3 linked regions of the Danio rerio genome follow. The protein of the gene in region 2 purifies or fractionates together with the protein of the main gene of each other region. This does not show direct contact. Links are inferred from orthologs where the notes say so. Each region holds a gene or a part of one and is shown on either strand. Other genes may lie near its edges. The genes, in order: gatad1, sin3b and suds3.

Evidence for each region.
Region 1: the proteins of sin3b (region 2) and gatad1 purify together in Homo sapiens (affinity purification with mass spectrometry; 5 studies listed by BioGRID and IntAct, with this or other methods). This does not show direct contact. The link is inferred for Danio rerio from reciprocal best matches to the Homo sapiens genes SIN3B and GATAD1.
Region 3: the proteins of sin3b (region 2) and suds3 purify together in Homo sapiens (affinity purification with mass spectrometry; 3 studies listed by BioGRID and IntAct, counting the BioPlex papers as one, with this or other methods). This does not show direct contact. The link is inferred for Danio rerio from reciprocal best matches to the Homo sapiens genes SIN3B and SUDS3.

The regions. Positions count from the first base shown.
Region 1 is NC_133194.1:46,813,859-46,817,998, reverse strand, and holds the start of gatad1 (GATA zinc finger domain-containing protein 1), read right to left. Parts: upstream 2,910-4,140; 5' UTR 2,826-2,909; exon of another isoform or gene 2,735-2,825; 5' UTR 2,699-2,734; coding exon 2,519-2,698; exon of another isoform or gene 2,373-2,518; intron 1,215-2,372; coding exon 1,092-1,214; intron 1,003-1,091; exon of another isoform or gene 734-1,002; intron 643-733; exon of another isoform or gene 369-642; intron 271-368; exon of another isoform or gene 1-270. UniProt on the Homo sapiens protein: Component of some chromatin complex recruited to chromatin sites methylated 'Lys-4' of histone H3 (H3K4me), with a preference for trimethylated form (H3K4me3).
Region 2 is NC_133183.1:15,973,364-15,977,659, forward strand, and holds the end of sin3b (paired amphipathic helix protein Sin3b), read right to left. Parts: intron 2,224-4,296; coding exon 2,025-2,223; exon of another isoform or gene 1,742-2,024; intron 1,629-1,741; coding exon 1,395-1,628; 3' UTR 594-1,394; downstream 1-593.
Region 3 is NC_133180.1:16,231,070-16,235,242, reverse strand, and holds the start of suds3 (sin3 histone deacetylase corepressor complex component SDS3), read right to left. Parts: upstream 2,897-4,173; 5' UTR 2,787-2,896; coding exon 2,675-2,786; intron 334-2,674; coding exon 264-333; intron 1-263.

The sequences.
Region 1 (4,140 bases), on a different chromosome or scaffold from region 2:
TTATTAGGTACACCTGTCCAACTGCTCGTTAACACACATTTTAATCAGCCTATCACATGGCAGCAACTCAATGCACTTAGGCATGTAGACATGGTCAAGACGATCTGCTGCAGGTCAAACAGAGCATCAGAATGGGGAAGAAAGGTGATCTAAGTGACTGTGACCGTGGCATGGTTGTTGGTGCCAGACGGGCTGGTCTGAGTATTTCAGAAACTGCTGATCTACTGGGATTTTCACGCACAACCATCTCTAGGGTTTGCAGAGAATGGTCTGAAAAAGAGAAAATATCCAGTAAGCGGCAGTTCTGTGGGTGCAAAAAAAGGGTCAGAATTTGGCATCAACAACGTGAAAGCATGGACCCATCTTGCCTTGTATGAACGGATCAGGCTGGTGGTGTAATGGTGTGGGGGATATTCTCTTGGCACCCTTTGAGCCCATTAGTACCAATTGAGTATCGTGTCAACACCACAGCCTACCTGAGTATTGTTGCTGACCATGTCCATCCCTTTATAACCACAGTGTACACATCTTCTGATGGCTACTTCCAGCAGGATAACGCACAAAGCGTGAAATATCTCAAACTGGTTTCTTGAACATGGCAATGAGTTCACTGTACTCAAACGACCTCCTCAATCACCAGATCTTAATCCAATAGAACAGGGGTGTCAAACTCAATTCCTGGAGGGCCGAAGCCCGGCACAGTTTAGTTCCAACCCTGCTCCAACACACTTACCTGTAGGTTTCAAACAAGCCTGAAGGACTCAATTAGTTTGATCAGGTGTGTTTAATTAGGGTTGGAACTAAACTGTGCAGAGCTGCGGCCCTTTTGGAACTGAGTTTGACACCTGTGCAATAGAGCATCTTTAGCATGTGATGCTATCATGTCAATATGGAGCAAAATCTCTGAGGAATATTTCCAGTACCTTGTTGAATCTATGTCATGAAGGATTAAGGCAGTTCTGAAGGCAAAAGAGGGTCCAACCAGGTACTAGTAAGGTGTACCTAATTAAGTGGCCAGAGAGTGTACATTTCATGTGTAAGAAAAGGACACAGGACACCACCAAGGAAAAACAAACCTGATTAAAACTCACATTTTTCAGTTTGAATATATGTCGTCTTCCTTTTCCTTTGGTGGAGACTTTTTTTTCAGATGCCGGTGCTTTATACTTAGTGCTTCTTAACCTAGCAGAGCGTCTGTGTATTTCCTGTTTGGACTGCAAAGAAAAAGAGAAAACACAAGTGGTTTCATTTAGAAATACTGTCCATATATTAAACTTACCATAAAAATATGTATAAAATACATACAGTTTAAGTCAAAAAATTCAATAATTGGAATAATTCTTTTCTTTTTTAAATATTTTTACAGAGCAAGGACATTTTCACAGTATGTCTGATAATATTTTTTCTCCTGGAGAAGGTCTTGTTTTATTTCAGCTAGAATAAAAACAGTTTTTAATTTTTTAAACACCATTTTAAGGTCAAAATTATTAGCCTTTATATATATATTGTTTTTTGATAGTCTACAGAACAAACCATCATTATACAATAACCTGCCTAATTCCCCTAACCTGCCTAGATAACCTAATTAACCTAGTTAAGCCTTTAAATGTCACTATAAGCTGTATAGAAGTGTCTTAAAATATCTAGTCAAATATTATTTACTGTCATCATGACAAAGATAAAATAAATCAGTTATTAGAAATAAGCTATTAAAACTAGTATTTTTAGAAATGTGCTGAAAAATATCTGCTCTCTGTTAAACAGAAAATGGGGGGAAAATATACAGGGGGCGAATAATTCTGACTTCAACTGTGTATATAATTAAAAAATAAAAACATATTGGAATAAATAATGCTTGTAAAATAAAGTCTTATCCAAAAGTACATACATTTAAATTATTGTATATGCCTATATGATTAAAATAAATCTTGGAAAATATCAGTAAAATGTATTTATAGCGCCTTTCACAGTCACAGTGCAACACAGCAAAATAAATTACTCTCTTATTTACGTTAGATTTATTTTAGTCTTATTTTTAGACAAAAATATCTAAAACAATAAAAAATTGTCTTGTTTTCAGAAATAATTATTCTAAATTAAGTGAGTTTTCCCTAAAAAACAGCAAAAATCAACATTATTTTGCTTACCAACGACTGCTTTGCTTGTTTTAATGTAAAATACACTTAGTTTTTACTAATTATTTCTGAAAACACGACATATTTTGTTTTTGTTTCAGGAAAACGCTTCTGGATTTAACAATTTTTAGATATTTCGACAAACTTTAAGTCAGAAACAAGACAGTAAGAAACGCATTTTTGCAGTGTATTAAAACATTGAGGTAAGTTAACGTTCAAGTGAAAATAAAACCTTACCCCAATGGAAAAAAAACATACATGAACACACCGATTTAAAATCTAAGTACAAACACCATAACAATGTATAACCAGCCAGCCACACTGTTGATTAAAATGTACGTTAGCAGTTAAAGAAATGTTATTAATTAAAACAGCTTTCGTACCTGTTTCCCTCCGCCATTATTCTGCTGGATGGTGGAAGAAGCAGAAGCTCCGGAGCCGCCGCTGCTTACAGCTTTACCCGTGCAGCCATTACACAGAATTTCCCCCTGGTTTCCCTTTTTCCACATGGAAGAACTTTGTGTTTTGCACACAGCACAGCATGGTTTTAAACCAAGAGGCATGTTTGCTAACACCAGTCAACGCTCCTGCAGCTATCTCTGAAGTAAACCGTTGGATTTTTTCAGTTGAAAAAGCGAATACAGTCTACATGTATCAACAAATGCGATTTTGAAACAATATGACCCTTACTTTAACCTTAAATAGAGATCCTTCATTATTAAAACAATGAATGATAGGTCCCGTATGTTTTACCATGATAAAAAAATAAAAAAAACTTCCGGTGGACGAAAGTGCGAACTTCAAAATAAAAGTCTTGCTTAGGAAGAGTTCGTATTTTTTCAAAGTAAAAGTCTGCGTTAGTGTCTAATAAAATATAATTTAAAATACATTATTTCCCTGAAATAAAACAGATACAGTGAATAAAAAGTATTTCATCCCAAAAAAAAATCTAAAATGTTCTGATGTTTGATATCTGTGAGTTGTTCTGTAGAGGAATATGTCTGTAAAGTGTTTTTTATTAAAAACACTTTACACTGTACAAACTCTGTCATTGTTCTCAGCCCAACTGAACCTACAGCTTTAATAGTTTTCTAATACTAAAAACTGTAATTTAGAAGAAAAACATTTAGAAATAGGAAGTTTAAGTTTTTATAATCCACATCAATTGATTAAAAAAACATTAAATTATAAAAAAAAACCTACAAATATATAATACAAATACATTTACAATTGTCCCCATGTTTCTGTCAGTCCTGTCACATTTACATTAAATTTAACATACAATGTGTGCAAACACGTTTAAGGCTATGACTCGAAAGTGACATCATTTGACAGAGAAAAAGCTGACGGTGTTCAAGGATGCACTTTATCATTGAATTGTAAGATTTTTTGAGGATGACAAGCTTAAGACAGGTCCTGTCACATTTATTTATAAGTGAAAATCTATTCTATATAGATTCTGATGTTTCTGATAGAATGACCCTTAAACTTCTAGAGGGCGCCGTTCACTGTCGTGAAATTTTAGGAAAGCATGTACACTGTTGCGTTAGTTTTACCATGAACCACAACAAATAAGATTGAGTTTAAAACCTTTTAATCCGAGCAAACCTTTTCCAATACTTTCTGTTTACTGGCTACACATCATACAAACTGGGAATGTATCAAGTATAGTCTATGAATGTGCAAATGACAATTCAAGGAAAAGGGTCACATTTAAAATAACAAAAGAATTGAATTAACTTATATAAAATACCACCACCAAAAACACTTCAGTAAAATAAACAAAAACATAAAGCAAAATCCATCCATTTCTACACAAAACGTTCAGGTTTAGATGTAAAAACTAGTCATCACTTATAAAGAAAGGTGAATCATCTAAAGTCAAAAGAGTAAAAATTAAATGTAAAAGTCTTATATCTATAATAAAAAAAAAAACTAAGTAAATGCACCAACTATTCGTTTTCACCTTTCATTATACTTATATTAATGTCTTCACAGAGTAAAT
Region 2 (4,296 bases):
GCAGCCCTACACCTAAGTATTCAAATATGGATTAAAATGAAAAAGTAGAGATGCTCCGATCGATCGGCCGGAGATCGGTATTTGTCGATAATCACATTTCACAACTCGATCGGTACTCGTTGATCTGGCCGATCTCATGAACCGATCGCAAGAGTTTGTTTATAAGTTTACAAGCAGAGGAAGATGCATGTGCGCACCTGGGTTATACATCAGCAGCGCTACAACACATGAACAATGTTTCCAAATTGCATTGTTAGTAATTTTTTTACCATATTTTATTTATTTATTTATTTTTTGTAAAGCTGCTTCTGACCATTACATGTATGCAACATCCTTTATTTATTATCTTAGGTAAGGTGAGATCTCATATTTAAAGGGTAATTGTGCCTATACAATGGCAAAACTGTATAAAGCTTGAAGAATATGAATCAGTAATTGGTATCAGCCGATCAAGAAATTGGTACTCAGTATCGGCTGCAAAAATTCAGATCGGAGCATCTCTATGAAAAAGGGTCACCAAAGAAATGATCAAAAAGGGATAATGCAGCATAATTAAAGCTAATGTCAAATTCAGCAAGAATCGTAACCCGTTCTTTAAGAACTGCACAACTAGGTTGTTTATTTTGTGATAACTGATACAGGATAAATGTTATACATTCTTTTTTCAAAACACTGATATTTTGTCATTTTCTGTTTTAATATGTAAAAATTACACCAAACAAAAGCAAGGATTTGGCGAGATCGATATGATACATGATCTGAAAGATTTAACAAAATGGACTATAAATCATGAGCAGTGATTGACGGACGACACCGGCAATCCTGTTTAGTTAGAAGAGACGATGAAAACAAAGAACACAAAACAGAGAACTAAAACAAGGACATTACGGATAGGATACCAGTGTGCGCCAGAGAAAACATAATTTTTTTCCAGGTCATCATTCATAGCCAAGGAAATGCACACGGAATAATCTTTCTGCCGCATATATGCAATTGCTCGAGCTCTTGAGTCGACTGTACTGTACAAAAAGACACATACAGATGTTTGCAGACATACTTTAAACCTAGTCTCTCAATACTTCAGTATAAACAAAACAAACTCTGCTTTCAGTTGCTAAAAACTACAATGGACTTTCTTTAAAAAAAAACAAACAAAAAAAGTTTTTGACATTCACATTTCTGAAACGTCTGATAACTGCATCGGCCATGATGGACTAGTGTTGAGATGTGATGCTCGTCGATGAGGATTTCTTCCTCTGAGCAGCTGTCTGTCCTCCTTAAATGCTGTGTTTGGGCTGAGAGTACTTGACCTCGGCCGTGAGAATGAATCAGTGAGTGAGACAGAAAGAGAAAGAGAGAGAGATCACAAAACTCCATCTGAAGGCGTGAGGTTGTTACGGCGAGGCGGGGGCCTTGCTGTTGTAGTGCACCTGGTACCTGTTGACATGCAAGCCTTTGACCTGCAGGGACACACAATTGGTCTTGCAGGGTATCATGTCCTCATCCTCTTCTCCCATGAGCCAATCCTGCACACTGCGCTCGGCGGCGGGAGACACGTGTTCACTCAGCCAGCCCCGGTGCCACTGCTCAAAGCGCTCGTGCTGAGCCCTCGCTACTCTGTGCTGAGACTACAATCAGAAACAGGACAACATTAAGACATAAAGAAATGCAATGCCATTCAAATGCTTGAGTCAGAATTTTTTTTTTTTTTTTTTTGAAAGAAAATAACACTTAAATGGACCTTTTTTCACATTTCCGGGTTATTCAGTAAAGGAAGTCATCATAGATGGGTAAACTTAGAGCACAGTGAATGGAAGAGTACAACAAATAATATTTTTACAATCCTATTTGCTGAAATAATAAACACTCAACAATGGGGTTATCAAGAATTTCAAAAAAGGAAAACAAGTATAATGTGACTGATAATGACAGCCAGATAAGAGAAGAGAAAAACATCAAATTTGCTGTCCTGCCCATACCACATACATACTATATAGGCCTTGTTTTGTATTTTATCTACATACCCTCCGAGCCTTCACCAGGGCTCCTCGGCGGTACATGTAGTCCTCGGAGTTCATCACAAACACCATCTTGTGTGTGTTCAGTTTGAATCGGCAGTCCAGGTTTCCGGCTGTCTCTACACCCATCTTTCTATGCCACTCTCTCCGGCAGCGCATGGCTTCAACCTGCTTGATCTGCCAGCCACGGAAATGTCTCACATTCCTGCAGGAGACACAGAGGGATGCAGAACAACTGTCAACGTGCTGCAACCTAGCAGACTTAAAGAGATCGTTACAAATTGCCATGCTTTACAAAGCATACAATCAACATTTCTTCTAGAAAAATACACGTTGCCATTTTTCTCAGATTAAAATATTTCCCCATCAATCCATGGCTAAGGGCATAGGGTTTAGGGTTTAGTTGAGTTGTGCTTATGTTCTCTCCATGTTTCACAGAAACCATATAGCAAGAGTTTATACTAACAGGGCTTTAAATACATGCACCATTGAAAAGAGCTAATCTGTATTTAAATAGATGCATAAAAAAGCTTGGTTTTGCTTCCAGTTTGCTAGTTGATTTTAGAAACCATAATGATAATTTGATAACAAAAGTGGTCTAAAATAACAAGGGCATAGTGGTGGGATTATCTATACCATGCTATGGCCAACCTCAACATAAAAAACATGATTGAGCCTTTTCTGGTTCTGTTACTGTTGCACATACCTGGTCTAAGTGTATCAGCCAATACGGAGTACTACATTTACTTTTAGACATTTAGCAGACGCTTTTATCCAAAGCGAATCACAAATGAGGACAAGGAAGCAATTTACACAACTATAAGAGCAGCAATGAATAAGTGCTGTAGGCAAGTTTCAGGTGTGTAAAGTCTAAGAAGCAAAGCATTAGTAATGTAAGTTTATTTTTTGTTTTTTTGAGTACAGTTAGTAGTACAGCCAGAGAGGCAATTGCAGATTACGAAAGAAAGTGGAGACTAAATAGTTGAGTTTTTAGTCTTTTCTTGAAGACAAGTACTGATATGTTATCTGGGTGTGTATTTCTATATACAGTCACTAGACTTCCATCAATTGATGATGAATCATTTAATACAGTGGTGCCCAAAATCAGTCCTGGAGGGCTGGTGTCCTGCAAAGTTCTTGCTGTGACACTAGGAATGCTCCGATCAGGATTTTTGCAGTCGTTAACGAGTACCAATTTTGTCATGGTGATTGGCCGATACCTAGTACAGATTCTAATGCTTAAAGCTTTATAATGCATTAAGCACATTTTCCCTCTAAGTATGATACTTAAGTGGAGATCTCGCCTTATCTAAGAGAATAAATTAAGAATGCTGCAAATAATACCATAAACATGTCTCTCTTAACCATTTAGTGTGGACATGTCATGGCCAGAAGCAGCTTTACAGAAAATAATAACAGATATAAAAAGTGTTTAAAAAAATGACAAACATTGCAACTTAGAAACCTTGCAAATGATGAAAGGAGAATTCAACATGTCTCAATAAAAAAAGAAGTTAAAACGCATATTTGATGCATAAGAAATTAAAATGCACACCTATAAATGCAATAGGCTAATAAACTAGTGTGTTTTGCAATAAGTATATTACAAGATGTTATATTATTAACGATTTAAGAAAAAAATATATTTTTAAAGTTTTATTTATCTAATTTTGCAGCCAGCTTTAAGTGAACTTGCAATATTGTCAAAAACACATAACATTTAGTTGTTATATGTAAAAAGGTCTAAAGACCATTTAAATATTTTCAAATACAATGATTGCACTTGGAACAAAAAGACTATCATAGCTGCTGTAGGCTATGCGTAACATACAGGAGCGCACATGTATCTTCCTCTGCTTGTAAACTTATAAACAAACCCCTGCGATCAGTTCATGTGATCGGCCAGATTGGCAAGTACCGATACAGTCATTAAGGGCGCACTCACACTATGCTATCTGAACCATGCCTAGGCCTGTTTCCCGGATCGTTTGAGAAGTGTGAGTGCGCTGAATCGGGCTCAGGCATGGTTCACTTGGCCAGCCCTGGCCCGGTTGGAAGAGATGGGCCTGAGCGCGGTACGCTTGTGTGTGAGTGCAAAACGCGCCAAAGCCCGAAACTGAAAGCGAGACGTGACTTTTAAGGGACTGTTTCATATGGATTTATTAATCATCCTACTATTCAGTGAACGAAAACTGCTATAGTTTATTAAAGACGCAAATACCTCACTGCACAACAGCTGCGCACCTTCAGCAAACCTCCTCATTCCTGCAGCATGAGG
Region 3 (4,173 bases), on a different chromosome or scaffold from region 2:
GGCAATTTTAACATATGCAATTTTCAATATAATAATTCAAATCTAATTTTAATTAATTGTACAAATAGCATTCTTTACAACATACTTATATAGATGTAAACATACACAATTAAATAAGTAAATACCAATATAATAACAGTTATATACAATTTTTCAGATGTATGTCAGCCAGATAGACAGAGAGATATAAAAATAGCTCTAATGTACAGAATCCCTTCACATAAATCATAAGTGAATGGTAGTCAGTCAGAAGGAATACTTACTGCTCTTTGATTTCGACATAGTCGTCCTCATCATGTTTGGCAAGATCTGTTTCACTGGCATCTTCTGTGTCTATAACAAAACAATAATAAAAAATTCAATAAGAGCAATAGAATAATATATGGTACATACTGACGACACTTAACTGCACTAAAGCTAGAAATGATCCCACTGAGTTTTGAACATAGATTATTCAAATGACTTGTAAACATATATAGCGCCATCTAGCGGACAGACAGTGTAGTTTAAATATATTTATATGGTAAGTGAGTCAAGTAGTTTACACTAGCTATCTTATTTATTCATTCATTCATTTGTTATCCTTCGGCTTGGAGATTGCCACAGACGAATGAACCGCCAACTTATCCAGCATATGTTTTTACACAGTGGATGCCCTTTCACCTGCAATTCAGTACTGAAAACATCCATACACTGACACTCTCATTCACAGACATACACTATGGACAATTTAGCTTACCCAATTCACCTATGGCATATATCTTTGGACTGTGGGGGAAACCGAAGCACCTGAAGGAAACCCACGTCAATACCAGGAGAACATGCAAACTCTGACCCAGCTGGGACTCAAACCAGCTACCTTCTTGCTGTGAGGCGACAGTGCTAACCACTGAGCCCCTGTGTCGCCCTTATTGAATTCAAATTATGTTATATTTTATTTGTGATCAAATAAATGCAGTTTTGGTGAGTGATTCTTATACTAACTAATTATTATAGGGTAATATTGTATTTTCCAATGTTTATTATTCCAGCCTAAACCACGGCGAATGAAGCTCTGCACAAGACTTTTGGCCAGCGGAGAAATTAAAATGGTCGTGCCCAACTGAGTCTGGTTCCCTCAAGGTTTTTTTTCTTCACTCCCATCAGGTGAAGTTTTTTTTCCCTCTCCGCTGTCGCCACTCCCTCGCATGGTTCAGGATTGGTAGAGCTACGCATCGATGAATTTGCTCTTCAGTGTTTGAACTCTCAGTAATGATTAAATCACACTGAACTGAGCTAAACTGAACTGAACTGAACTTAAACACTAAAACCTGAACCACACTGTTCCAGTTACTATGACCATTTATGTGAAGCTGCTTTGACACAATCTACATTGTAAAAGCGCTATACAAATAAAGCTGAATTGAATTGAAATGAATATTAAGGTTTTATTTTAATGTTTAAATATTTTAATTATATTTTAATTATTAGCACCCCTTTGACTTTACTATATATATTTTTTTATATTTCTCAAATTATGTCTAACAGAGCAAGGACATTTGCATATTATGTCTGATAATATTTTTTCTTCTGGAGAAAGTTATTAGCCCCTTTAGGCTATATATTTTTGATAGTCTACAGAGTAAACCATCATTATACAATAAATTATCTAATTACCCTAACCTGTCTAGTTAACCTAATTAACCTAGTTAAGCCTTTAAATGTCACTATAAGCTGTATAGAAGTGTCTTGAAAAATATCTAGTCAAATATTATTTACTGTCATCATGGCAAAGATAAAATAAATCAGTTATTAGAAATGAGTTATTAAAACTATTATGCTTAGAAATGTGTTGGGAGAAAGTTCTCTCCGTTAAACAGAAATTGGGGAAAAAATAAACAGGAGGGGCTAATAATTCTGACTTCAACTGTATATGTGGTGAGGGAACATTTGATATTCATCAGTTCTTTATTTTTCTCAAAACTGGATGATGAACTTTATATGCATTGAGGATGCTGGCAATGCATAATAAAAACAAAGCACGTTTCTACATTTTCCGGAGGTTTCTATAGACCCAAGTTAAATACAAAACATTTTTGAAAAGAAATTGCATTCAAATACGATTGTAGTTCAAGACTGATTTGATTTTCATAAATATACGTTAATATCAAATCTTTACAACACCACTAGAGCCTACATCTGAGCAAGTAACCAAACCAAATATTAGCAACTACAACTAATCAGCTTTTAATATTCTACTTTGAATGCAAGAACGTCCTCTGATACATCTTAATACAAATAAGTGGGTCTCATTTTACAAGCATTTTAACAGCATAGTAACTTCATGCTTCCTGACGTAACGTTATGCTAACTCTGCTAGCTGTTTATCAACAGGCTGGAGAGCACAAAAAGCACAAGTATGACAACATTTATAGCCATTATGTAGTTAAATTCCCACACAGTCCCTATTTACGTCTAAAACGATCACAATAAACATAAAATAATTCAAATGAAGTTGCAAAAACCCAGCGAGCATACAAGTCGAAACACATGCATACACTTTCATTACGTTAACATATATCGGCGCTCAAACAGCTATCAACTTACAGGTTCACAACTAAAATGATAATTTTAATCAATAATTTATTATATAATTGTATTAAAATGTAAACTGGCTATTTTTGTGCGTATTCACCTTCTTCCGAGTCTCTGCCTCTGAAACTGCGATCTTCATCTTCATCAACGCTATCTAGCTCTTCCTCGTCGTTATAATAATCCACCATGGGTGACAATAAAGTCGAGGCCATTTATTAGTTTAAAATATTGATAACACCGCAGGAAACACCAACGTGTAAACAATCACACAGCACCGACAACGTTTTCAGTCTGTCGAGCCTCTTCTTTTTTTCAACGGGAGGGTAGGCCGAGGAATCTGATTGGTCGAGATGCTCGAGCAGCGCATGATGGGAAATGTAGTATGAACCGCTTGTGCGCAATTATGACATAAGGGAAAGAAGAAATGGGAAGGGGGAGAGAGAGAAAGAGAGAGTACTCTGTCCGCGTATTGTTCTTATTATCATTCAAGGAACAAGAAGAATTTCTGAAGTTAATAAGGCTAAACACTTCTCAATCATGAAACCTTATAACGTTCAGGTAAGCGTACGGAATGTCATTTTGAAATGACTTATGAGAAAAGACATGCTCATCTATATTTTAGTGTCGCTATTTACGTCTGTTGAATGAATGACACAGAACGAGTTTCATTTTCATCTCACAGACTGCTTTGGCTACGGTTTTCTTGCCCATTCACAAACACCGAATGTTTGTTTTTAATCATTATTGACATTGTTTCTGACGAACAAAGTGGAATCAACTGTAAGTGAATTATATTTAATATTATTTTGGAAAAATATAAATATTAACTGTAGTAAAATAATTACTGTATTCAGTATTCTGACAGCCTCTCAATTGTATTGCGTAATCTACTACTACTGCTGCTGCTAGTACTACTACTAGTCTAGGTTCCTTCAACTATTACTACTTTACGAATGTAATAATATAATAATAATATAGTCTAAAATATGATATAGAGAATTGTATAATAATAATAATAATAATATTAATAATAATTCGTTTAAGAAATGCAACAACAATGAACAACATTTTACATTGATTGTAAATAACAAAGCAACAACAAAGCTATTTAAAATAAAATATAAAAGCTAACAACACTTATTTAGGGATCTGTTATCGATTTACATATTTAACTAATAACAGGTGTTATTAAATGGTTTGATGGTTTGATGAATTAGCAAGAAAACCAATCCAACCTCTGCTTGTTCAATCTAACTACACATAAATTGAATACTATATTATATTGACTGGACAGGTGAAATAATTTACGGTAAACCATCTATCTAATTATCATTTGACTGTGTTATAATCAATTTTCTGATAGCTACTGTCATTTCTATTGTGTCTAGGGGAGTTGTTCCTCATCCAACCGGCAGATGGCGGCGTTGAGTTTAAAAAGCGGTTTGACTCGCGAGATCGTTTATCAGCGCTGTTACCTTGTAGCAGGTACGATGGGTTTTTAAAAGCGTCAGATGCTTGTCAGCTCTTTGTCAGTCGCGCGGGGTTTATTGCGACATCCACGCTGGATACCATAAAATGAACTGCATGGGCGATTTATAA